7 linked regions of the Tribolium castaneum genome follow. The protein of the gene in region 1 purifies or fractionates together with the protein of each later gene. This does not show direct contact. Links are inferred from orthologs where the notes say so. Each region holds a gene or a part of one and is shown in the gene's direction. Other genes may lie near its edges. The genes, in order: 116 kDa U5 small nuclear ribonucleoprotein component, RIOK1, Neurochondrin, rept, splicing factor 3B subunit 4, ecd and RNA-binding protein cabeza.

Region 1 (3,500 bases):
GACTCTTGCATAAACAGAAATACAACTTCCTTATTTGTCAATGCTTTTGAAGATACGTTCGATGAATAAAGAGATGGGGTTTATAATTATAAAACCTAGAGTTTTCAAAGATATGAAATTACGATTTTCTTGTTTTTTAAAATTGTAATGTTCTCATTTTTTTGATATTAAACGGTTTTACAACGTGAGGTTTCTAAATTTTATTTATTTTATTTAGGGCTAATAGTTCATTAAACATTAGAGTTTTAATTTTATTTTTCATTTTTATCAATTTTATTTAAAAAAATAATTCGGTAAAATGCGTTGTTGACATTTCTGTCGTTTTGAAACAGCTGGTAGTACCAGTTAAACTGTTTGCAATTTATTTTTGTTTCACATAACGGACGGGACAAAAAAATCTTGTGTGTGAAAATATCTCTAAAAAAATATTCAGCCAGGTTTTTTAATTATTAAAGACTAACATTATCAAAATTAGACAGAAATTAAAAATTTTTGGTCTTGGTTAACGACGTAAGAAATAAGAACCACAATAACGGACGGGACAGCAAAAATTACGAAGATATAAAAATAATATTACTAATCAATTTACTTACCGATTTCAATTTTCTACCAGAAACTAGAAAAATACTCTTCAAAAGATGTTCAACACTTGTAGTACGTCAGTATTTTATGTTCCCGTCTACAAGACAATGTACAGGGTGTCCCACCGAAAAGTGCACCCCCTCGTAACTTTTTTATTTATTAATCAATTCAAACAAAATTTAAATTACATATATTTGGACCAAAGGTCCACATTTTAATGTAACCATTTTTTTTGTAAATTTTAGAATTCACTGAATTACTTCAATTTAAATGATTATCCTTTCCCATTTTAAATCCACAACAAAAAAAAAACTCTTGTCACAAAATACATTAAATATAAACCGAATTCTTAATCGAAACTTAACATTACTACGATAATTTTGAAAATTTCGGTGTCATTATTCCTGAAATGGTTGATAATACGAGTAATTAATTGCATTTCTGCATGAAAAATGCGTTAAAATGCTCGTAAAATCATTTTTGATTTTAATTTTTAATGAATTGTATAGGTGCGAATATAATGGAAAACTCGTAAAATTACAATACTGGGTGAGTCATAATTAAGTCTACAATTTTATGAGGCGAAACGAGATATAAAATACCCAAAAAATTAACACAGCTCCAAATTATTTTAAATCAATTTACATTTAACTAATTTATTAATCGTGGAATAAAAGCACAAATATTCTTAATAAACTGACGAAAATCGAACAACAAATATGAGAAAAATATATTTCTATTAAAAATTTCAATTTTGCGCTGTGTGATATTTTTCAAAATGCTGCGAATATCGTTAAAAATCCATGAAAAATTTCCTACAAAAAGTTCTCGGTATTTTTATCTTTAATTGTGTGCTGTGGTGCCTGTGATTTTGTGTTTTTAAAGCAATTTAAACCGATACGGTTGAACATAATTGTATACTTTGTCCCTTATATTTTATTGTGTCTTTTACCATTTATTTATTTATTCATTTATTTATTTTACCATGAGGTTAAAACATCATGCGATTTTCTAAAATTTTGATCTAGTTATCCATGACAGTTACTTTAACTCGATGTACATTACGGAAATAAGTTTCCAACATATTTTTTTTATGTTCTTCGGTGAATATTTTGGACATATTGACAGATAAAGCGATGCTGAAATTATTTACGCAATTCGGAAGTAAAATTACCGTTGGGGGCGCCACTGAACTAGGTCGAAAACAGTAACCATAAATGGAGGGAAAATGTTTATTCGGATATTTTGAGCGTTGTACGAATTTTGGGGCTTCACAATTATTACATTGCCTATGCGGAATGATTATTGCATCTTTGATGCAAGAAACTTATGTTGATAAATGAGAGATGACGAGGAAAACACGAATAACGAATGACTGTTTGGTTCACTTTCTTTATTGGAAAATTATTACAAAGACATTGAAAAGCCTACCTTTTGGCATAATTTACGTTTAAATGTATCAGCAGTTGTTAATCTTTATTGTAGTTTTGTAGATTTACCGCAGCATTTCATGATTTTTTCAGTGGAAAATTCTAACCTAAAATTCACACACTTCACTAATTTATTGGTTTCTTGAGCCAAACTTTGTGTTCGCTGTGATCCATTACTTATAATCTTTAATTAGACAACTGTTTGATAACACTTTGTAATCAAAATTTAAATATTTTTCACTTTTTATCCACTTTCAAGTTCCAACAATAAACACTTTATACCACGAAAAACTACAGAACCAAAGTCAACGCTAGTATTTACCACCACGTACTTTTAAAGTGATTCTTTCTATTGTAAGTAATTAACACTATACACGCAAAATTGTTGAACAATTCATTAAATGTCAGTTAAATGTGGCATTACGAAAATTTCTTTACTGTTTTCGACATAGTTCAAAAGTCATCACCAGAGGGCGTCTAGTTAATTTTATCTCCGAATACGTTTCACTGTTGGCGTAACTGTCATGGATAACTAGATTAAATTTAAAAAAACGCTTGTTTCTTTCTTTGTTTGATTTTCTGTATTTTTTCACAACTTTTACCTTTAACTATTGAGAATTGCTCTAATGGTCTGTAATTTTTTTAGCTGATGTCGATAATTTCTAAATTAACTGAAGTTTTCCGATTTTTTAACTTCAATTTACTTCTCGGGGCAGTTTACATATGGGCGTTTAGTTCAAAATATTTTGTCTATTGGGTAGATTTTTATTTTTCCAATTTTTAGATTTATTTAAGAAATGTGTGACTCGAAAACTATACGCTTTAGAGCCTTACATGAAAATACTGGGAATACATATTTAAGTTTCTGGAATGACGTTACATAAGAAACATAAATAAGTTCGTTTGTCCGGAATAAAATGGAACTTGTTAAAATTTAAAACAAAAAATTACTACGTCCTGTCTTTAACTAAATTACTATTTTTCTAATTAATTGATAAGCATCTGCTTGTCATAACACTCATAATATAACATAACCGTCGTAATGTTTACCATTCGCCCCCCCTCCAAAAATAACAACAAAAAACAATTAAGCCCTTATCAGATTCGTTAATAAACCCAGGAGCAATTTTTTTGCGCGTCTCAACCGCAATAAATGAGGTAACCAACGAGTTGTAAAATCTCGTTTAGCCCCAAGGCCGTTCATCTAGAGATAAGTTCCATGACCTCGACTAATGAATTAATGATAACGAGTTGTTTACTACGTCTTGACTTTCAAAAATTCTAAAAATACCGCATTATTTAATCAAAATTCCAGATACAAAATCGAGCTAAACCGCGTCCCTGCCGGCAATTGGGTCCTAATCGAGGGCATCGACCAATCAATCGTTAAAACAGCCACAATCACAGACCTCACAATCTACGAGGACTTGTACATTTTCCGCCCCCTTAAATTCAACACCCAAAGCATCATTAAAATCGCCGTGGAGC
Region 2 (3,494 bases), on another chromosome or scaffold:
TACTTGCAACATCAGTGGCTAGAAGAATTTTAATTGTGTTTGATTTAAATTTAGCCAAAGCTGCTAATCTCTGTTGTTGTTTCATCATGGCATGAAGGGCCACATTTTCAAAACCGACCTCATTTAAAGTCATTGACAACACTTGACAATTCCTACAATAAATCCTACTTAGTCTACGACTACGAAATCAAGTTGGCAAAAATAGTATTGCCAACTTAATTTCAAACTCTAGACCAATTATTTTACTTGCAAGTGTTAGTGAAAATAAGGATATTTCCGTCATTTGTAGCACGATACGTCCTAATTGTCTCAACCAAATAAGCGTCTTTCACATCTTTGGGGCACAATACATAGTTTTGTTCCAATTGTTCAACAGTTGCTACTTCAGCCGGGGCTTCATAGAAAAAAACATCTTTCCCTGTCACATCTTTCAGTTTTTCTAAAGTATCGGTGATCGTGGCTGAGAAAAATAAATTTTGGCGCTCCTTAGGCAATGCTTGAAAAATCGTTTTGATTTGTTCGTCAAAGTGCCCCCCTAACAAACGATCGGCCTCATCAAGCACCAAAAACCTCAATTTATTAAAATTAAACGTGTTGCAACTTTCTAAATGGTCAGCTAAGCGGCCAGGCGTTGCCACCACAATGTGGGGTTTTCGGGCTAAGTCTTTGCCCTGAACCACCATATCCATACCCCCCACAATGACACAATGGCGCAAATTCATCACTTTGCCAATGACTGCAAACTGATCAGCGATTTGAAACGCCAGTTCTCGTGTGGGGGTTAAAATAAGAGCGAAAATACCGTAAGGATCCTCGCATAATTTCTGGAGAATGGGCAAGGCAAATGCTAGGGTTTTGCCACTGCCGGTTTTAGCAGCCCCGATACAGTCCCTACCGGCGAGAATTGGGGGAATACAGTTGGTCTGGATGGGTGTAGGGCTGCGCACACCTGTACCCCAAAATTAATTTACGAAGCAAAAGGGGGCTCATACCTATAGTGGCGCACTGGCGAATGATCCAAGGGTTCAACTGGAGCTTGTCGAACGATTTCTCGGTCATTATTACGCGAAAAACACAAACTTAATATTCAGAGGGGTTAGGTTCCCCGACATTGCGACCGATTGTGTACACGACCGAATCGTTTTTTACGATTTTTGGGCAAAGTGTTAGGTTTTTACTAGAGTTTTGGATATTTTTTTGCAAATTTTTGACCAACTGCTGGGATAAATTGGGTCAAGTTGTGCAATAACACGGAAATTAGTTCGGGCTGAAGGCCACTCGAGTTCACACGTGTGACAATTCAATATAACCTCAGAGTTTTTGCACGTTTATTTGTGTAATTATGACCACACCGGACGATTTTTTGAGTGAAGACGAGCTTTTTCGGGACGCTGAAGACGATATTCTGGCCCCCGTAACCGAGAATTTGACCCTTGATGAAGATAGTTACGAAAGTGAAGATGACGATTTTTACTCAATTTCGGGCAAAAACCAGAGGAACCCCCAAGTGTCGTCAAAAAAAGTCAGTTCGTACCAACCCCCCGACAGTTTATTCAAAAAATACACCAACAAAATCAACGTTGAGGCGTATGACCGGGCTTTGCCCCCTCATGCCACAAATTTGCTCATAGCCAATGAAAAACGGCAAGAAAATGAGAAAATACGGCACAAGGACAAACACGACCGTGCCACCGCTGAACAAGTCATGGATCCACGAACCCGAATGATTTTATTTAAATTATTAAACCGGAACGTAATTTCCGAAATAAACGGTTGTATTTCAACGGGAAAAGAGGCAAATGTTTATCACGCAACGAGTGATAAGGGCCAGGTTGCGATTAAAATTTACAAGACCTCGATTCTCGTTTTCAAAGATCGCGATAAATACGTTAGTGGCGAGTTTAGATTCAGACACGGTTATTGTCGACATAATCCGCGAAAAATGGTACGAACGTGGGCCGAAAAAGAAATGAGGAATTTAATTCGCATGCATTCGAACGGTTTGAATGTCCCTGAACCCATTTTGCTGCGTTCGCATGTCTTACTAATGGGGTTTATTGGTCGAGAGGGTTGGCCTGCTCCGAAATTAAAAGACGTGGATTTAAGTCAGTCAAAAGCGCGTGAAATCTACAGAGACGTGGTTATAATCATGTGGAAAATGTACAATAAGTGTAAATTAGTACATGCCGACTTGTCCGAGTTCAACATGCTTTATTTGAATGGCGAAATTTTCGTTATCGATGTGTCACAATCTGTAGAACATGACCATCCTCACGCGTTGGAGTTTTTGCGGAAGGATTGTACAAATATCACAGATTTTTTCAAAAAGAAGGAAGTTGCGACTATGGGTATCAAGGATTTGTTTCATTTTATCACTGATCCGACGATAAATGAGGGGAATATGGAGGAGTGTCTTGAGGCGTTGGCTGAGAAAGCGGCTCAACACACCGAAGTCACGTCAGAGGAACAGGTAAAATTATTTTCTCAATTACAAGTACAAAAAATTCCATAAAACTTTGCCAGAGTGAGTTTAGAAAAAAAAAATGCTGTCGTATTTTTTTGTTAGTAGTAACGAAATTTTTTTGGTGTTCCATTACAGGTGGAGGAAGAGGTGTTTAAGCAGGCTTACATCCCTAAACGCCTGACTGAAGTGATTGATTTCGAGCGAGACATAACTCGAGTTAAATCGGGTTTAGCTGACGATTTAGTTTACAAAACTTTGGTCGGTTTAAAGGCCGATTTGAGTGGAACTGTGCAACATCCCGAGATTTTGGATGAAAAAGAATCATCTGAAGAAAATTCAGAAAGTGAAGAAGACACTGGTAGTAATTTTGTTGACTCTTCAAGACCCAAACATGAAACACTCGATGAGAAAAAAGCGCGGAAAAAAGCAGTCAAAGAGGCACAAGCTGCCAAAAGGACAACAAAAATCAAAAAACATGTCAAAAAACGGAAAGAGAAGGTTTCAAAGAAATAAATTATTTCATGGCATTAGTTTAGTGTATTCGATAAAAAACGAACTCTTTTTTACATTTTCCCATACTTTTGAACAGTACACAAGCCACGTTTTTTCAGTCAGTTGAACGTGAGTTAAGGGCGTTTTAATCGCGCCTAAAATATTGGCCCTTAATTTTTTTACAAGGTCTTCCAAAGGCGGGTGTCCATTGTAGATGTTATCTGCAATAAATCGAGTATTTAAGATGCGCTCACTCGATTTGGCAAACATTTTGCTCGTTAAACAAAAAAAAATAATTACCATATTTGGGATTGTATTCCGGGATGAGAAACACGTTGAAAAGTTCGCCGGAATTATCGTCAGCCAGCCCCAAATTTGAGTCCTTCTGAAGCTTGGTTTTTTCAAACAATAAATTGTAAATTTCTTGAATGGTTTTGAATTTCCTGGGCGAGAAATCGTCCATTTGTGCTTTGTTGTGTATCATTAGCAAGTGCGGGAAATGGTCATTTAGCTCATCCTCAGGGTTTGAATGTGTAGG
Region 3 (2,222 bases), on another chromosome or scaffold:
CTTAATAAAATCGCAGTCGATTTCGAAACAGACCACGATAAACGAAAATTCGAGTTATGCCAAGTGCTTAACGCCTTGATTTTTAATTGTCCGAAGAAGATTGTGAACAGTGCAGATAAGGAAACCTGGCCTATGAGTCTCTATAAGGGCCTCACTGATATACTGCAGAGTAAAATTGGACCACAGCAACGCAATCCGGCTTTAATTTTGGCATCGAGTGTTTTGGATGCTTTGGGAGTCGAGTGGGCTATGTCCGATGAGGAGAAACCTAAACAGTTTTTCTTACTCTTGATACAGTTGGCAGCAATTGAGGTCCGAATGCAACTTGATGGCAAAAGTCTCAAAGCTGCAACCGCCCAAAGGAATCTTGTAACGGCTTGTTACATTATTCTAGAATTGTCAATTAATTATATTTCGACGGATCAGTTGGACTTGGATCAGAAGGAGAAGCAGACACTTTATACCGGTTTGAAGGGAGCATTCACTGCTATTATAAACCTACTGTTAAAAGTGGCCGCTGATAAGAATAAACCTTCTGGCGATGAAAAATGGTTTGTTTATGCTACCATCAGAGTTCTGGCAGCTTGGTTGGCTCAAGAAACCTCCGCGTTACGCATCCAGGTCTACCAACTCCTACCGTTCATTCTCGAAATCGCCAATGAAAGTTTCAATGCGCATAAGGCGAAAAGAGTTGCCGAGAAAGCAGGGATTGAAAGTGAAACAAACCCTGCCAATTCTGTGGATATTTTGCGAATTCTTCTGCCAGGTCTTTGCCATTTGGCCGTGGAGGATGCAGCACGTGCCATTATCTTGAAACACCATGAAGATAAAGTTCTCTTCGACTTGGTGCAGTTTCACTGGAGCATCGTTCATTATAAACGTCCACCGGTTCCACGATCCGAACGTCTGAAAGTTCTAAATCAACCAAAACAGGAACTATCGCCCGAACTTTTGGCCGAAATGCAAGACTCCAGGACTGCCATGATCAGCGCCTGTAACGTATTGATGAATCTGACTGTGCTGGAAACGAAATACGTCGAAGAGAGTGATGTTTTCAACGATTTGCTTAAATTTATTTTTGAGAATTTGCCGGAGTTGAAGGATATTCCCGAGAATCTCGTTCTTCACGGGAATTTGGCCGTGTTGGGGCTTTTGTTGCTGAAGCAGCTCTCGAATAAAGTGAAGAAGAATGATTTTTCGATCTGTCGTTACATCCAGGCGACTATTAGGTTTTTATGGGATGCGTACATCATTGATGAGTCAAATGACCCAACCGCTTTGGTTGTGTCAATGGCGTACAAAGAACACTGGATGGAGCTTATGGAACTCTGGTTTTTGGGAATGCAAACCATGTCAGGCGTCATCGCCCAAATCCCCTGGATTTCTGAATTTGCGATTGAAAGCGGTTGGGCCGAAGGCATCGTCCAGACATTGAAGAAAGTCAAAATCGGGACTCTCCCACCAAACGTTAAATCAGCTTATGAAGATTTCCTCTGCCACTTAGTCGACGCCAACGAGAGTGTTACCGATGTTTTGAAGAAAGCTGAAGCTTTGAGGGTTTGCCGGAATCACAGACTGATGGAATTAGGAAAGAAGTTGTTCGGGGATTAAACCTGTGCGTTTGTGCTTTTAATGCATTTTTTGTTTTATTTTTGGCGCTGATGATTTTTATACGAAGTAATCGATTTTGTATTATATTTAAATAAATGTATTTGTCGACGAGACGTGGTTTTATTTCGGGATGTGTAGGTGGATTTTGGCAACGATAGATGTATCTAAAATAATTTACGCATAGTCATGGCAGGTATTAATAAGGGGTATCTGTGTCGTTTTTTGTAGCTAGCGCAAATTCTGTGGGAGAAATGGGACGTTCCAACTGATTTTGCAACGAATGCCTCGAAAGCCTTTTTGAAGGCTTTCAGGAAATGCCCCGAGAATTTATCGATGAGTTTGGATGCGTGGAGGAGGCTGCTTTGGGCTCAGGCGCTGGGGGATCAGTACAACAAGTATGCAGGTAAGCAGCAGTTGGCGAAAATTTGTTACAATAAAGCGGAATAAATAAATATTTGGTAGTTCAGTTGTTGCAGAATCTTTTATCTTGGCACATACAGTTTGCTGTTGAGCAATTTTTTTAATGTTTTTGATTGTATTCCGCGTACGGTAATCACCAGTACTATTATTAAATTTAAAAGATCTTGTGTAATATCTTCTTTTTTATATGC
Region 4 (3,995 bases), about 5.1 Mb from region 1:
CAAAAAATAAGTTGACTGTCATATCACTAGTTTAAATAAAATATTTCTATTGACTATGGTAAAAATAATTCTTCTTCGGGAACCCTCGCAAACACTTCGTTAATATTCTGCGACCACACTGTTGCCATCACTTGCTCAATGGCGGCGCCAAAGTCGGCATAAACAGTTAGGGAATTTTCGTTGATTGTTTTCATGATTTGTTGGCTCAGCTGTTCGTTACCGTTGATTATGTTATCATAGGAAAAAATCACTTTTTTCGGGTTGAATTTAAACACGTGCTCGGTCATTCTCAAGTGAGTCTTGCCTTTTTTGGTGTACCTTTCACATTTGAAGTGATTGGCGCCTTCAACATCCCCTAAAAAAAGAATTAGGCACGAGGCGAAGCCGAGTGCTTCACTCACAGAACGTGTTATTACACTTCCCTTCACCGTTTAGTGTGAAAATGAGCAACTTTCCGTTGATTTTGTAATCGGCTTCCATACGCACGACGGGAGTCAAGCTATCGTAGCTCCAATAACAACTCCCTTGCGTAAAATTAACCCTAAAATTTTTTTTCAATTTTTTTTTTTTTTTTGTTAATTTTATTGTTACTTCGAATTTTTGATCGTAGCCGAGGTGATGCCGTGAATTTTCACATTTTTGTAAACTTGCTGGAGCGTGTCCTTGGACGCTTGGCCCAAGGTCACCTCCGGTATAAGCAGTGGCTCCAACTGACTAATCCCCAAATCCCTGTTCCCCATGGCCAACTTACGCACATCTTCCATAACATATTTATCCAAACACTGGTTTAAATTAGGATCCGATTTGCGACATTTGATAATTTCGGGCGCTTAATTAATTAATTAATTAATTAAAATCAATGGTTAATTCAATTAAACGACTTACGCAAAGTTTTGGCAAAAGTTGAGCCAAAAACAAGCACCACAAGTAAAATCGCACTCATTATTCTACGGAATCAAGTCGAAAACTATTATTAAAAATGAGTTAGTGAAAAGTATTTGTAGTGTCGAAAAGTTGAAAACCTTGTAATTCGTACATAATTTTCCTAATTGCAACAATAGGCAATTAGGGAGCGGAAATTTTGTGCTAATGTGGCACAAATGAGGCAAAAACGCCCGTAATTATTGGTTTAACATTGTTTTAAACTGTTTGAATGGAAATTGGCGCCGGTTTTCGGCACGTTGGCAGCACTTTGTTTGAAGGGCCCAGTGTTTGATCAATTATTTCAATTAATTAATTCAAAGTTTGGGTTAATTGTGGCAGTGCTATGGCTGTAAGTATTAACAAAACAATCATTTATTAATGAAAAAAGCCCACAAAAAACAATTTTTAATACAGAAGTTACACAGTTGGTATTACAAAAATTTCAAGTTTGGGACGTTTTTGTCACATAAAACTTTTTTCCCGACGAATTATTTAATTTAATTATGTGTTTCGAGTAAAATTAATATAATAATTATGCTTAATTAATTAAATTACGAAGTGGGTACACTTTTTCTGGTGATTTTCGCAGTTACGTTGGTACCGCGTCCCTCCATTGTTTTTGCATTTCCTTTAAAATTGTGCATAAAAACGCAAAAAAGCCGCAAAAACCACAACCCCAATGGCTGTAAGTACCCCATTCTCCCTTATCTCGTTAAAAACACCCTTTTGCTGATAACATTATCGCATTTGTGTCGTTTTTGCGGCGTTTGCTGACCCTAACCCCACTTTCGCAGAGCGCCGCCGCTGCAAAAATCGCCGAAGTGCGTGAAACCACGCGCGTGGAGCGCATTGGGGCCCACTCCCACATCCGGGGGCTGGGTCTGGATGAGAGTCTCGAGGCCCGGCATGTCTCGCAAGGGATGGTGGGGCAGGTGTCTGCCAGGAGGGCTATCGGGATTGTCTTGAAGATGGTGAGGGAGGGGCGGATTGCTGGTCGGGCCGTGCTTTTGGCGGGGCAACCGGGGACGGGGAAAACGGCCATTGCGACGGCTCTGGCCGCCGCCCTGGGGCAGGACACCCCCTTTACGAGCATGGCAGGCTCGGAGATTTACTCGCTGGAGATGAGCAAGACGGAGGCGCTGACGCAGGCGATTAGGAAGAGTATCGGGGTGCGGATCAAGTAAGTGCTGGAATACCGGGTGACTGTGATGAATTGTATGGGGGAATTATTTGGCAATACTGCGCTTGTTTTATGAATTAAGAGTTCAGATTTATCACAAAACTGACGACAAGATCCGTTTTATTTATTTATTTATTTATTTAACGAAAAATTTTTTTCTACAAAATATATAAATTACAAAACCACAAAAAATAAAATTATTTAACAATAAATGATTAATATCAAGAATCATTTAGCCTTAACAGCGAATGTATAAAGTGCTAATGGCTTTTCAGTAGTCACCCGGTATAAAAATGTCAAAAAAAATTGAAATACTATAGTCGGTGTATTGTTGGTTGCCTATATACTAACTTCTGAAACTTTGAATTTATAGTTTTTATTGATTTAGAAATCTGTTAAAAAATATTTTTTTTTCTAATTTAGTCGTTTGTTAAGCTTAAAAAATTTTTCCCCGTGTTTTTTTTTCGGGAACAAAGATTTACAAGAAAAAAAACAAAACAGTGTGTCTCGGAATTTATTTTGCAAAATTTAGTGATGAATTCTCTAATTTTTCAATATTCAATATTCAATATTGAGGGTTATTTTAATAAAAAAATATTTTCGAAATGGAAAGAATCTACTTTTTCTATTTCGTTGATTTTCTACAACGGATTTTTTTTACTTTTGTGTGCTTCTTATTCTGTTTTTTTTTGCTTTCTTTTCATTTTTTTTGCTTTCTCTTGATTTTTTTTATTTTTTTAATTTGTTACAAGAGGTTTTTTTTCTTTTTTGTGTTATTTCTTTTTTCGTTTATTTTATTATTGATGTTTTTCACTCTCCCGTAATTCTTTGGACTTGAACCATATTTTTTAAGTAATTTTATTTTTTTGGTTTTGCGACGATTTTAATTTTTTGTTATACTAATTTTGTTTTTTTATAATATATGTTGGTAATTTAATTTTATAGTTCATTTTCAAATATAAATATGAAAACGTTTAATAAACTAGCAGGTTTGACAATAAATTACACCCGACAAGATTAGAAAAGATGGTTATTTACTTTGAAAAAAAATATATAAAATTAAAGAAAAAACTAAATTTATTTTTATGTTTAACAGTTTAACTGAAAGTTTTTTATTAGTGGTCCGTCACTTTTGGGATCGCTATATTATGTTTTGTTTTACCAGTTTTTTTTTAATTTTTTAATTTTATTTTGTCTTTTTTAATTTATTCATGGAGAAAAAAAAATTAAAAGCTTGAAAAAAATGGGCATTTGCTTTTTTAACTTATTTTTTTGGTTCACATTTATGTTTTATTTTCCACTTTTATTTAACACATTTTCTCTTTATTTTCTATACATTTTTTTGTTATTTGTTAATTAGGTTTTTGTGTCTACATATTATTTTTTCGTATTTTGGTTTTCGTTATTTCGTATCGATTTATGTATTAAATTCTTGGATTTTTTTATATTTTATTTCTTGTTTCTTGTAGGCGTTTCCTAATTTCACTTATTTTTGATTTATTTTATCAAATTTATTTTCCAAATTATTTTCGTTTTTCAATGTTTATTTTATTTTTTTAGTCTGTCTTTGTTGATTTATTCGTGGAAATTGGGAATAATTAAAAAATCGAAAAAATTACCGTTTATTCATAATGTTAAAGTAACGTTATGAACTTTAAGAGTTAAAGCGACTTCAACTTTATGAATAAACAATAAAAGTGTAAAAAAAATTCAATTTTTCAGTTATTTTCAATCTCCACAAACAGAGGGAATAAGAAAATTTTATAATTTTTTTATTTTGTTCTTTCTTTTGTAATAATTTGACCTCACTTTTGAATTTTGTTAACTTAATTTTTTGGTTCACATTTATCTTTTATTTCGCCTTTTCTCTTTCCTAAGAGTTTGCAACGAT
Region 5 (2,353 bases), on another chromosome or scaffold:
AATGTCAGTTTGACAAATTCGTGACACTTGACGGTGTTGTCGAAGTGCACATGTAAATCAATGTTCAAGGATACCACCCTTAGATAGCCCTTAACTGTTTAAATTTGCATTGTTTTTGATAATTTTTTTATAGCTTTGTGTTGGTAATGAAAAAATGAAATTGATGACGCACACGCAAATCGAGCTGACCGCCACTATACCTAACTAGGCAGAAAAATATCGATAATTTCTTATTTCTTTTTCTTTCTTTTCTTTTTTCTCGTTAATTTTTGTAGTGCGCTTTCACTTTTGCACCAAGCAATGGGCCACTCTGAATTATTAATGTTATTATTGTTATTTAAATATTGAAAACAAAAGTTTTTGTCTACTATATTTTGTAAAAGTATTTGGAAACGATAGGAACAAAACAAAATAACTAAGTTAAGTGTGAAATGTATTATTTTCTTGTAAATTTACATTTTTAAAAAATTTAAAAATTTAAAAATAATTATTAATCGTTTTGTTAGGAAACGATTACTTACTGTGAAACATAAAAACATTAAAAAATAATGAAAAGTAAAGAAGTTAAATACAATAAGTTTGTAGCTCTAGATTTTTTAAAATATGACTTTAGGAATTTTTTCAACATTTTTCCCGTAATCTACACTTGCTTCTCAATAACGTACCACTGAGTTGGTGCGCCAGTTTTTGAGGACCCTGTATAACCGAATTTCAAGATCTCAAATTTTTTCGTTGTCCGCTTCGCATGAAAAGCCCCAATTGTTAAATCAGGTGTAAGTGCCTTGTATTGCTTTATGCGACAGATTTAGGGATTCTCATGTATTGAAAAAAATTACCTATACGAGCATTCTTCCTTCAAAATTTATTTATTTATTTTTATTTATAATTTTGCTAATCTCTGTATGTTATTTATCAGTTGAGTTATTTGTCTCACTCCATTTGGTAAAATTAAACGTTCAGCTTCTCCACATACCAATCTATTTTTTTTTTCAAACGTTTTTTTTATATTTTTTAATATTGTAGATAATGAGAGACCCCGACACTGGCAATTCCAAAGGCTTCGCTTTCATCAACTTTGCAAGTTTCGAAGCATCTGACGCCTCAATCGAAGCAATGAACGGCCAATACCTCTGCAACCGCCCCATTTCCGTCTCCTACGCCTTCAAGAAAGACTCCAAAGGCGAACGTCACGGCTCCGCAGCCGAGCGTCTCCTCGCAGCCCAAAACCCCCTCTCCCAAGCCGACCGCCCCCATCAACTATTCGCCGACGCCCCTCCCATGGGCATGATGCCCCCAGGAATGACTCTCGCTCCGCCCCCACCTCCCGTAATCCTCGCTGGAATGATGCCTCCACCACCCCCCACTCCGGCAAGTATGCAACCTCCTCCACCCCCACCAGTTCCTCCACCCAGTTCTTTCCCCTCGGGGATCCCCCCTCCGCCATTACCTCCCTCCCAACCGCCCTTGCCACCAGGTGCACCTCCACCGCCTCCAACCTCCGCCGCTGGAGCACGGCCCCCTCTGCCACCAATGCCTGCCTCAACGCAAGCTTCAGGCGCCCCCAGGATGATACCACCTCCGTGGCAAGGTGGAGGTGGGTTACCGCCACCACCACCTGGACCGCCAAACTCGGCAGCGCCCCCAACGTCAGGTGCACCGCCGTTCCCGGGATGTTTCCCGCCGCCACCGCCTCCAGGGGGGCGGCCCCCGAATTGGAGGCCGCCGGTTAATTTTGGTGGAGGGAGACCACCGTTCCCACCAAGGGGACCTCCACCACCACCTCCGAATAATTTTAGCGAAAATAATTGGTAAAAACAATAATACAATAAAGTCAAGGTGAATTTTTTTATTTCGTTTTGTGTCTTGTTTTTTGGATTTTCCTATTATTATCCTTTTTATTATTGTCACTATTTCCAGTAAATGGTATTGTGGTACCAGGGGCTTGATATCCTAATTCCTCAAAACTTAATGTTTCTAGTGAAAGTAGAATATGTATCATTGGCAATTTTCGTTTAACAACTATTTGGTCTAAATCAGGAATAACTGGATCCCAAAATTCTTCTACTCTGCAAAATTGTAAAATATGATGCAATTTCTGATCCAAGTCGTCTTAGGCTGAAATTAAGTTGGTGACACTCTTAGTGGCGTTTGCCATGCAATGTCACCAACTTATTTTAAGTCATGTCAGCGGAAATTTTTAATTGAAAACAAACTTACACCCTATAACACAGTTTCGTTATTTGGTGTAACTGATTATTGTGTTCCCGTTTCATAATTTCAGCACATGTTACAGTTTTACCAACAGATTGTCCAAATCCTGTCCACACAACGGCTTTAGCACTTGGAAATTCAT
Region 6 (4,244 bases), on another chromosome or scaffold:
TTATATGCGAAATGAAATTTACGGCGACAATTTGCAAAAAGCCACTTTGCGAAGCTTGGGCCTAAGAGGTGGTAGGGCGATGATGCGGTTAATGTATCGAAGGCCTGACGAACTAAAAGTCCAAGCAAATGTCTCTGCTCCTCTGCCTACGAAACCGGTAGAGGAGAAGCCCTTTCATCGCACTTTAAAGACTGAAGCTGAATATTCTAAAACTACCGATGTGAAGCCTTTACAAAAGAAAACTGAGGTTGATTTATTGAAACTAGCACGGGAAAAACGAAAATTGAGCAGCCCTTCCAAAACTCCGGAAACGGAAACGCATTCGCCTAAAACTAAACCCAAAGTTGAGTCTGACGACGAAAAAATGGATGTTGATTTGCCAGAAAACATCGCAAATTACCCAAAAGAGCCAGTTACCAACCCATCATCTAGTCAGCTTGAGGACGATTTTGTTTTTGTATGTAGCATTTTATTTTTATTATTTTATTTTGTATTTGAAATTTTCAGTTGGGCGAGCGCAAGGCAATGTTATTTTCTCTCGAATCGGCGCGTTCTTTACCAGCTGAAGACCTACCAGACGATTTTTTTGAGCTCACAATTGATGATGCTAAGAAAATTCTGGGCGATATTAGAAGAAAGCGAAACGAAATGGACAACGCTAATCTCATGACCTCTGCAATGCGCAATTTAGAAGAATCAAAGAAGCAATTACGCCAACTGCGTAAATATAAACAGTCAGTAATACGCGTCCAGTTCCCAGACAGGTCCATCCTTCAAGGGAGCTTCAAGCCCAGCGAAACTGTTAAAGATATTAAAGATTTCGTCACTTCTTTCCTAGAAGATCCAAACAGTGATTTTCATCTTTGTAAGTATTGTTCTACTTCAGTCAAGTGACCTTTGACTCTAGTCAGAAACTACTTTGATCACATGTTTAAATATTGTTACAGATACAACGCCGCCTAAAAATGTTCTCTCGGACGAATCAAAACTAGTGGAAATTGGTTGCGTGCCGGGGGCTTTGTTGCATTTAGGAGCAAATGGTGATGGGAGTTCTGTGTGCTTGAAGGCGGAATTGAGGGATAAATTTACAACAAACTCAAAAGCAAGTTTAGCGGCGTCACAGTTGCGGCAAAAGGGAACAAGACCCGAATCTCCGAGTGAAGAAATGGGCCAGGATGAGTCTATGGATACACTGACTGAAGCAAATGCTGCTGGGCCAAGTACACAACCAACCAGTTACGAGAGGAAAGTAATAAAATCAACGGAAAAAGTCCCTAAGTGGTTTAGACCATCAAAGTGATTTATTAGTGTTAAGTTTATATGAGTTGGTACTTATATTAAATAAAAGCACTTCAGCATCTAATTTTGTTTTATTTTGGTGAGAGGAGCGGGTGTTTTTGAATAGTTTGGGGAGTTTTGTTTTATTGGCACCAATGGTGTGTCAAATGTCATTCAAATTTTTTAATTGATTACTTTTAAAACAACAATGGCAAGTAAAGTTAACGTTCTTGAGTCCGTTCGTGAAGATGATTTTGTTGAATATCATCTTTTTCCACCTATTGATTCCCAGGACGACAAAGAACAAGAACTTGCGTTAACCAGAGTTTTAAATCAGTGTGAAAAAATCGTAAAAAGGTACACCGATGAGTATTTATGGCATAAAGACGAATTTAAATTAACTGTGAGAACGTGGATTAGTAATTCACTGATTCATGATAGTGAAAAAACAGGTAATGGTCGTATTTTATGACTTCACATTAAAAAAGTGCTTTTACATTTTTTGAGGTTATAAACCAGCAAATGCTTTGTTTAAAGTAAATCTGTATAAATCACAATGTAACAATTTTTTGAATCACCTAATTCGAGATCAATTGTTTTGCAGAGTATTTACCACCACATTTATATGGCGTAACTCATTTTGGAGACAATATAGAGGACGAGTGGTTTATTGTGTTCCTTTTACGTCTCCTAACTAAGGAAATTGATGGTTTAATAGCTCGTGTGCACGACGCTGATGGCGAATTTATTTTAATTGAAGCAGCTGATTACTTACCTTTATGGGCAGACCCTAACAACTGCGAAAATAGGGTAAGGTTTCTCATTATCTGTGCTTGTCTTTTTTCTAATTCAAATTAGAATAAAGTGATAATTGATTTTTTTGTTGGAAATTTTAATTAAAAAACGTTGCTATGGTAAGAGTGTTTTAAAATAGTGTTTATAATCTAGCATTCAGATGTGAAAAAGAAGGCTTAAAATGTTACCATCAAAAAAATAATTTAACGAATGCAACACAAGTCAATGAACGAAGCTGTACCAACATGTGAAAAAATTGCAACAAAATTGCAGCTCTATAAGATAGTACTTCTACATTAAAATTCACTTAAGTAATAATTTATTAGTTAAGCATTTATAATTATTTATACATTTCTGTAATAACTGAAGCAAAACTGACTTGGATCTGGTTTTTCTCCAGGTATACATTTACCAAGGCAACATTCATATCATCCCTCTAGACACCTCGGATCACCTCCCAGAAATGGCCCAAATGGCGGTCAATGAGGCCGTCTCAACAATCCAAAACAATCCGATCGACACTTTAGCCTCATCAGACATCCAAAACTGTATAATCAACAAATTAAAAGACTACCCTGACAAAATCCAGTCCAGTCTTCACCATGCCACTGCCTACCTACCAGTAGGTGTCGCTGCAATTTTGCGCCACAAACCCGGGCTTATAGCCCCCGCCGTCCAAGTCTTTTGTAATCGAGACCCAGTTGACGCCAAAACCTGCAAAGCCATGAAATATTTTCCGCCCGAAAACCGCGTAAATGCCAGAGTGACATTTACTAAATGTTTATACGCAATGCTAACTCACAGTAAATACGTTCCGGATCGCAGAACCGGCTGGAACTTGCCTAAAAGCGACAGCCCACAGTTTAAAGCGCAGAATTTAGGCGTTAAAATCGCCTGTGGGTTTGAGATTTTAGCCGCGCAAGCCAAACCAAGCCAGGACATTGAACAGGATAAAGGGTGGGTTAATTATTTTGAGAAACTGAAAGAGAAAAATTATTTTCGGGGGTTGTTGGAGCATTCAAGAGAATACAACGATTTATTAAACAAAGCGAAAGAGTACTACATCAATCACCGAGACTCTATGCACTATTCTCCAGCCATTGGGCAAGAAATTGTCCAGTTGATCAAAAATTTGGATTTTAAGATCGATGAATTGAAGGAGGAAAGTAATTTGCCTGACGATGACGATTCGTGGCTTAACGTCAGCCCGGAAGAGTTGGATAAAATGTTAGAAGAAAAATACGGGCAAAAGAAATTCGTTACAGTGAACAACAACTCAGACGCCGCCTCTTTCACTGAAAAAATCTCCTCGTTCTTAAACCACGTGTCAGATATTGACGGAGTTGAGCACCCAGACCTGGACAATTCCCCAACTCGGCCCCCTAGAGGCGTGAAAAAACGCACCAAAGTTTCGTTCGCAAGTGGCACAAAAACCGAGACAACAGCTAATAATAGAGTTAGTTTTGATCCGAATGCGTTTTCTTGCGCCGTTCAGAACATCCTGAATTTTGTCATTCCGGAAGATGACAGTTGGGATTTGGATTCTGGGTCTGATATGAGCGATTACGCCGACGATGTTGCCGGGAATGAGGAGATGTACGAAGGGGTTAAAAATAAAATGCAGGAGTATATGGAACAGATGGATAAGGAACTGGCGGCGACCACAATCGGGGAAAGTTTCGAGAAGAAGAACGGGGACGGGTTTGAGGATATTGAGAGTTTTAAACCTGTTGATATTGACGTGAATGCGTTGAAGAATATTCTGGAGAGTTATAAGTCGCAGTTGGGGGAGGCGGGACCGTCGAGTAATATGTTAGGGCCGATGGGGGTGCACTTGGATGTCAGTAATAACGATGATTGAGATGATTATTTAAGCGCGATTTATTGATTTACTGTTAATTTTTGTAGCGCGTGCCAATAAGGAGGTTTACTGCCATTGTCTTTTCACTATTGATGTATACAGTGTACGAGATTCACACGTTAAGCTGTACAGAACACGAACGATTTGATTACATGCTTAATATTACCTCAGAAATATGAAAAATATTTTGTGTTAACGTTACGTTGTTTTTGCAACTATGACACATTTCTTTTTTTCGTTCTGTACAGCCGCATATGTATTTTAGATTTAGCTGCTTGTTATGAAAATTAAAAGAATATATTTAATACTT
Region 7 (4,193 bases), on another chromosome or scaffold:
AAACTAAACCTAAAGTTACCAAACTAGCAGGGTTCCAAACGCCAGACCGTGAAAATTACCAGGGTAACAATTGATTTGTTTGTTTGTTTGACGATTTTGTGTTGGTACGTGATGCTGAAGTGACATTTCCCATTTCCAGCTGCATCGTTGTTGCAAAACGATGAAGTTGTAAGATGATGGGCGATCAGTTTCGTAAAGTGGAACAATATTCGCCCAAATCTTCGCCTAGAGGGGCTCGTTCCCCTGTCGTTTCACGTCAGGATTCGTCAGGAACATTAAAAACGACAATTTTGTTAGGAAAGAACCCTTCAATTGTCCCTAGTGGACCTTTCTATTTGATGAAAGAGCCTCCAGGTAAGCAAGACAAGGCTTGAAGTCGTTTAAATCACGCGGACGGTGGTTGTAGGAGAGTCGGAACTAACAGGAGCGACGAATTTGATGGCCTATTATGGCCTTGAGCACTCTTACAGCAAATTCAGTGGGAAAAAACTCAAGGAACAGTTATCTTCGTTTTTGCCAACTTTGCCTGGCGTTATTGACTCTCCTGGACAGCATGATAACAGTTCGCTAAGATCAGTGATTGAGAAGCCTCCAATTGGGGGCAAGGAGTTGTTACCATTGACTAGCATCCAACTGGATGGGTTTAGACTACACCCTGGGGCGGTAAGCTTGATAATTTCCCTTTAATGTGTTTTGTTGAGTATTGGATTTTAGCTCCCTGAACAATACCGCTACGCAAATGCGGCGCCTATGAAAAAGCATAAAAATAAACACAAAAAACACAAACACAAAGATGGGGGGCTTCCAAGTCAGGAGACTACCATTACCGATGCTGGAAGTGATACACACGAGAAGAAGCATAAAAAACAGAAACGACACGACGAAGATAAAGAACGGAAGAAGAGGAAAAAGGAAAAGAAGAGAAAAAAGCAGAAACACAGTCCTGAACACAGTGGGGGCCTAACGCCCAGCCAACACTCAAATTCGTGAAGATCTTTGGATTGTGAATAATTCCAACTTACCCTAGGTTTAAGATCTATTATTATTTATTGTTTATTATTTTTGAAAATAAACAGACTGTTATTTTTATTAAGTTTTTACTGGTCGTTTTAGCAAAGCTAGCACCACTAGATTAATTAAATTCATGATTATCAAAAAATAATAAATTTGAGGGCCTACAAATGCCCTTAGGCCGACCCTGAACTCTGATAAGGTTTTCAGTGCTGCCACAACAAGTTCTCCAGCTGTGTTTCATACAAACTTATTATTACAATTTATATCCATCACAAATGTTGTTTTTAAGTACCTCGACGGTATTCAAGTGGAACTGAGAATATAAAACAAGGTTGTTTGTGGAAAATTTAATATTTTGGCGTGCTTTATTTAGTGTGTTTTTTTGGTGGGGTTGGCAGGGCTGTTAGCGCCGACCAATCACAAGCCCCCAATCCGTAGCGTCTTTTCCCTCGCATCCATTTTCCTCCTGTTTGTTCGATTATCCCAACGGTAGAAGATGGGCGATCGTAAGTATCCCGATTTTTAAAAAATCTCGCTCATCCCTGTACGAAATCACCTCGTGTATTCAAATTTCGACTACTTAACACATTACGAAGTTGTGGTAGTTCGCATTTTTCACGTCGGCTTGCTCTAATTTCATTATTATCGATTTTTCGTTATTTGGGTAATTTATGTACAAACCACTTTTGCAGGATCGTACGCCGACTATTCCCAACCGCCCCCCAGTACTGCGTATCCCAATACGTACGGGGCACCGCCGACCGGCGGTTTCAACCCCCCGGGCGGGGGAGGTGGAGGTGCCGGCGGCGGCGGCGGATCTTGGAATCAAGGACGCTCGTCTGGCGGCGGCTATGGCGGCGGTCAAGGTAAGAAACAGTGATGTGGGGCGACATAGGCATGGTTTGAGTTTGTTTAATAAACTTGAAACCTCCTACTATGTCGCAGAATAATTAGGGAATTGATAGTCCCTTCTTATCTTGATATGAGAAGGGGTAGACATTCGCCTATACATTACTTTTGAAAGAATTGTTTTGTTTTTTTGCTATACTACCGTCAATTGTTCCAGGTGGCGGCGGCGGTTATAACCAAGGAGGTGGTTACAACTCTGGCGGAGGCGGTGGCTACGGCAATAGTGGCGGTTATGGCGGCGGCGGTGGTGGCGGCTATGGAGGTACATTCATAGTTTTGTGTGTTGTTTGTAATTAATTATTTTTGGTTTAGGAGGCCGAGACCGTGGCGATTTTGACAAAAGGCCTCTAGATCGACGTGATTCTTATGGGTAAGTTATCGGTTTTTGTTCTTTTACTTTGTTGGTATTACACTTTGGATGGGAGGTAGTAAAATGATAAAAAATGAATGAATGGGTATTTATTGTCAAAGAATCGTTGAAACTGTATTAATATCAGTTTGCTTACAGAGTTTAAATAGTGTAAGTATTTTGTTGTAATACACACGTCTGTGTTTGTTGTTGGTGGCCGAAAATGGCCGTTAAAACTTGAGTTAAATTATAACAGGTGGTTTTTCCTGAGGTATTTATTTTTGGTACGGTCCTTAAAGGTTGAGTTGGTTGTTACTACAATTAAATGGTTGTTATGTTATTGAGGTGTATAATAAAATCTTTGAGAGTTTAAAAATAAGGTAAACATCGTACATAGACGTGACAACAACTAGAAATAGGTGATCTTCGTGGATGAAGACAATGTGTATGCCAACAAAATGGTTGGTGAAGTGTGTGTTTTTCACCCCCCTCCATTCTCTCGACAACTACTGATGTTTTACTTCTGTTTTAGAGGCGGCAACAGGGGTGGTTATAACAAAGGTAAAAGCACTGAGTCACTGTGACCAGTGCATTTTTGTACACTTTTTAATTGGTATTTTTATTGGTTTTTGGAAGAGCTGCATTATTTTTATTTACGTTTTATAATTTCCCACACATTTTGATTATTTGGTGTTCCATTATTGGACTTGTTTCAAAACTTAGACCCGCGATTATAATGTGAATACTAAATAATCATACGTAAACAGCTCTTCCACTATTCACCTGCGAATGTTAGGGTGCGTTGCTATAATTGACAAGTTGTTTATCTTCGAAAAGTGTTGCAACATTTCATTGTTTCCTCTTTGCTGATTAGGTAACTTCTTTCGTATTTGCAATTTTTTGTACATTTATACAAAAATATAAAGCATTGGAGTAACTTACAAAATCATTACAGAAAATGTTTATTAGAAAATCTTTGGGTTTCGATTGGTCAAGTTTTTATAAAGAATTTTAAACGTCAGTTGCGATTCTAATATTTCTTATTATTATTATTATTATTATTTTTTTATTAGATATGGTTGTTAACATTGATACTTTATTATTTTCTTTTTCGCAAATTTTAAAAATTTGAGTAATTAATGTTTTGTCAGTAACCTTTAGATGTTCTCAAAGAAAATCTTTGGTCCATTTGATTAAATCTAGTTTTTGGATTAGTTTTATAGGTGGTTTTAAGATTTATATTTAGTATCTCCTTCTATTTTCATTGGCGTTTGAAAAAGAAAGGTCTTATTGAGTACATTGTTTTTTATTGATAGAGTAAAGGTAAAAGAATACATAATAGTATTTTTCTCGTGTACAGGGTGATTCAAAAGTCTCCGACTATATATCGTTTAGATGGTGATGAATACATCCAACTAAGCTAAAAGTTCCTATGACAAAAAAAATTGTGATCCTTTTTTTCTTCACTAGATATAGCTTTTTACAAAGTTATATCTTTGGGTTAAGATGAAGTAATCTTAAATCTCTCGAGAGATTTTATAAAATTAGATAATTATTGAAAAAATTCTCTACCTATAATACGTATAAAACATTTATAATTTACCAAATTTAAGAATGAATTCAACAATATGGGAAAGAAATGCGCAAGAATTAATACGGTTGCTAAGGAAAAAGAAATACTAAGAATTAATACGGTTGCAAAAAAAATTGATTATTATGCTTAACTGAACGTCTTTTATCACCCTGTAAGAGTTAATCCTTCATTTTTTAATCACCCTGTTATACATCGGGATTTCAAAAAGTTACGAATGGTTTTATGAGGTACTATGATTTTAATATATATATATTAAAGGTAAAAGGATAATAAAGTTTTTCCTTTTATATTCATTGGTATTAAATAAAAAGGTTCTATTGGGTATAT

The links.
Region 2: the proteins of 116 kDa U5 small nuclear ribonucleoprotein component (region 1) and RIOK1 purify together in Homo sapiens (affinity purification with mass spectrometry; 3 studies listed by BioGRID). This does not show direct contact. The link is inferred for Tribolium castaneum from reciprocal best matches to the Homo sapiens genes EFTUD2 and RIOK1.
Region 3: the proteins of 116 kDa U5 small nuclear ribonucleoprotein component (region 1) and Neurochondrin purify together in Homo sapiens (affinity purification with mass spectrometry; 4 studies listed by BioGRID and IntAct, with this or other methods). This does not show direct contact. The link is inferred for Tribolium castaneum from reciprocal best matches to the Homo sapiens genes EFTUD2 and NCDN.
Region 4: the proteins of 116 kDa U5 small nuclear ribonucleoprotein component (region 1) and rept purify together in Homo sapiens (affinity purification with mass spectrometry; 5 studies listed by BioGRID and IntAct, with this or other methods). This does not show direct contact. The link is inferred for Tribolium castaneum from reciprocal best matches to the Homo sapiens genes EFTUD2 and RUVBL2.
Region 5: the proteins of 116 kDa U5 small nuclear ribonucleoprotein component (region 1) and splicing factor 3B subunit 4 purify together in Homo sapiens (affinity purification with mass spectrometry; 3 studies listed by BioGRID and IntAct, with this or other methods). This does not show direct contact. The link is inferred for Tribolium castaneum from reciprocal best matches to the Homo sapiens genes EFTUD2 and SF3B4.
Region 6: the proteins of 116 kDa U5 small nuclear ribonucleoprotein component (region 1) and ecd purify together in Homo sapiens (affinity purification with mass spectrometry; 5 studies listed by BioGRID and IntAct, with this or other methods). This does not show direct contact. The link is inferred for Tribolium castaneum from reciprocal best matches to the Homo sapiens genes EFTUD2 and ECD.
Region 7: the proteins of 116 kDa U5 small nuclear ribonucleoprotein component (region 1) and RNA-binding protein cabeza purify together in Homo sapiens (affinity purification with mass spectrometry; 3 studies listed by BioGRID and IntAct, with this or other methods). This does not show direct contact. The link is inferred for Tribolium castaneum from reciprocal best matches to the Homo sapiens genes EFTUD2 and FUS.

Annotation. Positions count from the first base shown.
Region 1 is NC_087401.1:10,807,705-10,811,204, forward strand, and holds part of 116 kDa U5 small nuclear ribonucleoprotein component, read left to right. Parts: intron 1-3,327; coding exon 3,328-3,500. UniProt on the Homo sapiens protein: Required for pre-mRNA splicing as component of the spliceosome, including pre-catalytic, catalytic and post-catalytic spliceosomal complexes. Component of the U5 snRNP and the U4/U6-U5 tri-snRNP complex, a building block of the spliceosome.
Region 2 is NC_087402.1:315,187-318,680, reverse strand, and holds RIOK1 (serine/threonine-protein kinase RIO1), read left to right. Parts: upstream 1-1,342; coding exon 1,343-2,470; intron 2,471-2,599; coding exon 2,600-2,977; 3' UTR 2,978-2,983; downstream 2,984-3,494. Other genes in the region: Dbp45A (probable ATP-dependent RNA helicase DDX49), read right to left, coding at 1-152, 247-949, 993-1,059; nonsense-mediated mRNA decay factor SMG9, read right to left, coding at 2,984-3,177, 3,257-3,494. UniProt on the Homo sapiens protein: Involved in the final steps of cytoplasmic maturation of the 40S ribosomal subunit. Involved in processing of 18S-E pre-rRNA to the mature 18S rRNA. Required for the recycling of NOB1 and PNO1 from the late 40S precursor.
Region 3 is NC_087396.1:14,824,231-14,826,452, reverse strand, and holds the end of Neurochondrin (neurochondrin homolog), read left to right. Parts: coding exon 1-1,611; 3' UTR 1,612-1,722; downstream 1,723-2,222. Other genes in the region: N-acylneuraminate-9-phosphatase, read left to right, coding at 1,840-2,014. UniProt on the Homo sapiens protein: Probably involved in signal transduction in the nervous system, via increasing cell surface localization of GRM5/mGluR5 and positively regulating its signaling. Required for the spatial learning process.
Region 4 is NC_087401.1:15,890,373-15,894,367, forward strand, and holds the start of rept (ruvB-like 2), read left to right. Parts: upstream 1-1,195; 5' UTR 1,196-1,267; coding exon 1,268-1,273; intron 1,274-1,450; exon of another isoform or gene 1,451-1,603; coding exon of another isoform or gene 1,604-1,609; intron 1,610-1,718; coding exon 1,719-2,104; intron 2,105-3,995. Other genes in the region: uncharacterized protein LOC663271, read right to left, coding at 54-355, 402-541, 592-829, 886-943. UniProt on the Homo sapiens protein: Possesses single-stranded DNA-stimulated ATPase and ATP-dependent DNA helicase (5' to 3') activity; hexamerization is thought to be critical for ATP hydrolysis and adjacent subunits in the ring-like structure contribute to the ATPase activity.
Region 5 is NC_087395.1:2,320,617-2,322,969, forward strand, and holds the end of splicing factor 3B subunit 4, read left to right. Parts: intron 1-1,023; coding exon 1,024-1,812; 3' UTR 1,813-1,853; downstream 1,854-2,353. UniProt on the Homo sapiens protein: Component of the 17S U2 SnRNP complex of the spliceosome, a large ribonucleoprotein complex that removes introns from transcribed pre-mRNAs.
Region 6 is NC_087394.1:35,465,463-35,469,706, reverse strand, and holds the start of ecd (protein ecdysoneless), read left to right. Parts: upstream 1-1,444; 5' UTR 1,445-1,486; coding exon 1,487-1,730; intron 1,731-1,882; coding exon 1,883-2,088; intron 2,089-2,473; coding exon 2,474-3,934; 3' UTR 3,935-4,244. Other genes in the region: tether containing UBX domain for GLUT4, read left to right, coding at 1-457, 508-865, 948-1,300. UniProt on the Homo sapiens protein: Regulator of p53/TP53 stability and function. Inhibits MDM2-mediated degradation of p53/TP53 possibly by cooperating in part with TXNIP. May be involved transcriptional regulation. In vitro has intrinsic transactivation activity enhanced by EP300.
Region 7 is NC_087395.1:19,588,953-19,593,145, reverse strand, and holds the start of RNA-binding protein cabeza, read left to right. Parts: upstream 1-1,393; 5' UTR 1,394-1,510; coding exon 1,511-1,520; intron 1,521-1,706; coding exon 1,707-1,880; intron 1,881-1,889; exon of another isoform or gene 1,890-1,968; intron 1,969-2,080; coding exon 2,081-2,185; intron 2,186-2,235; coding exon 2,236-2,293; intron 2,294-2,804; coding exon 2,805-2,833; intron 2,834-4,193. Other genes in the region: MED19 (mediator of RNA polymerase II transcription subunit 19), read left to right, coding at 174-354, 407-663, 715-990. UniProt on the Homo sapiens protein: DNA/RNA-binding protein that plays a role in various cellular processes such as transcription regulation, RNA splicing, RNA transport, DNA repair and damage response. Binds to ssRNA containing the consensus sequence 5'-AGGUAA-3'.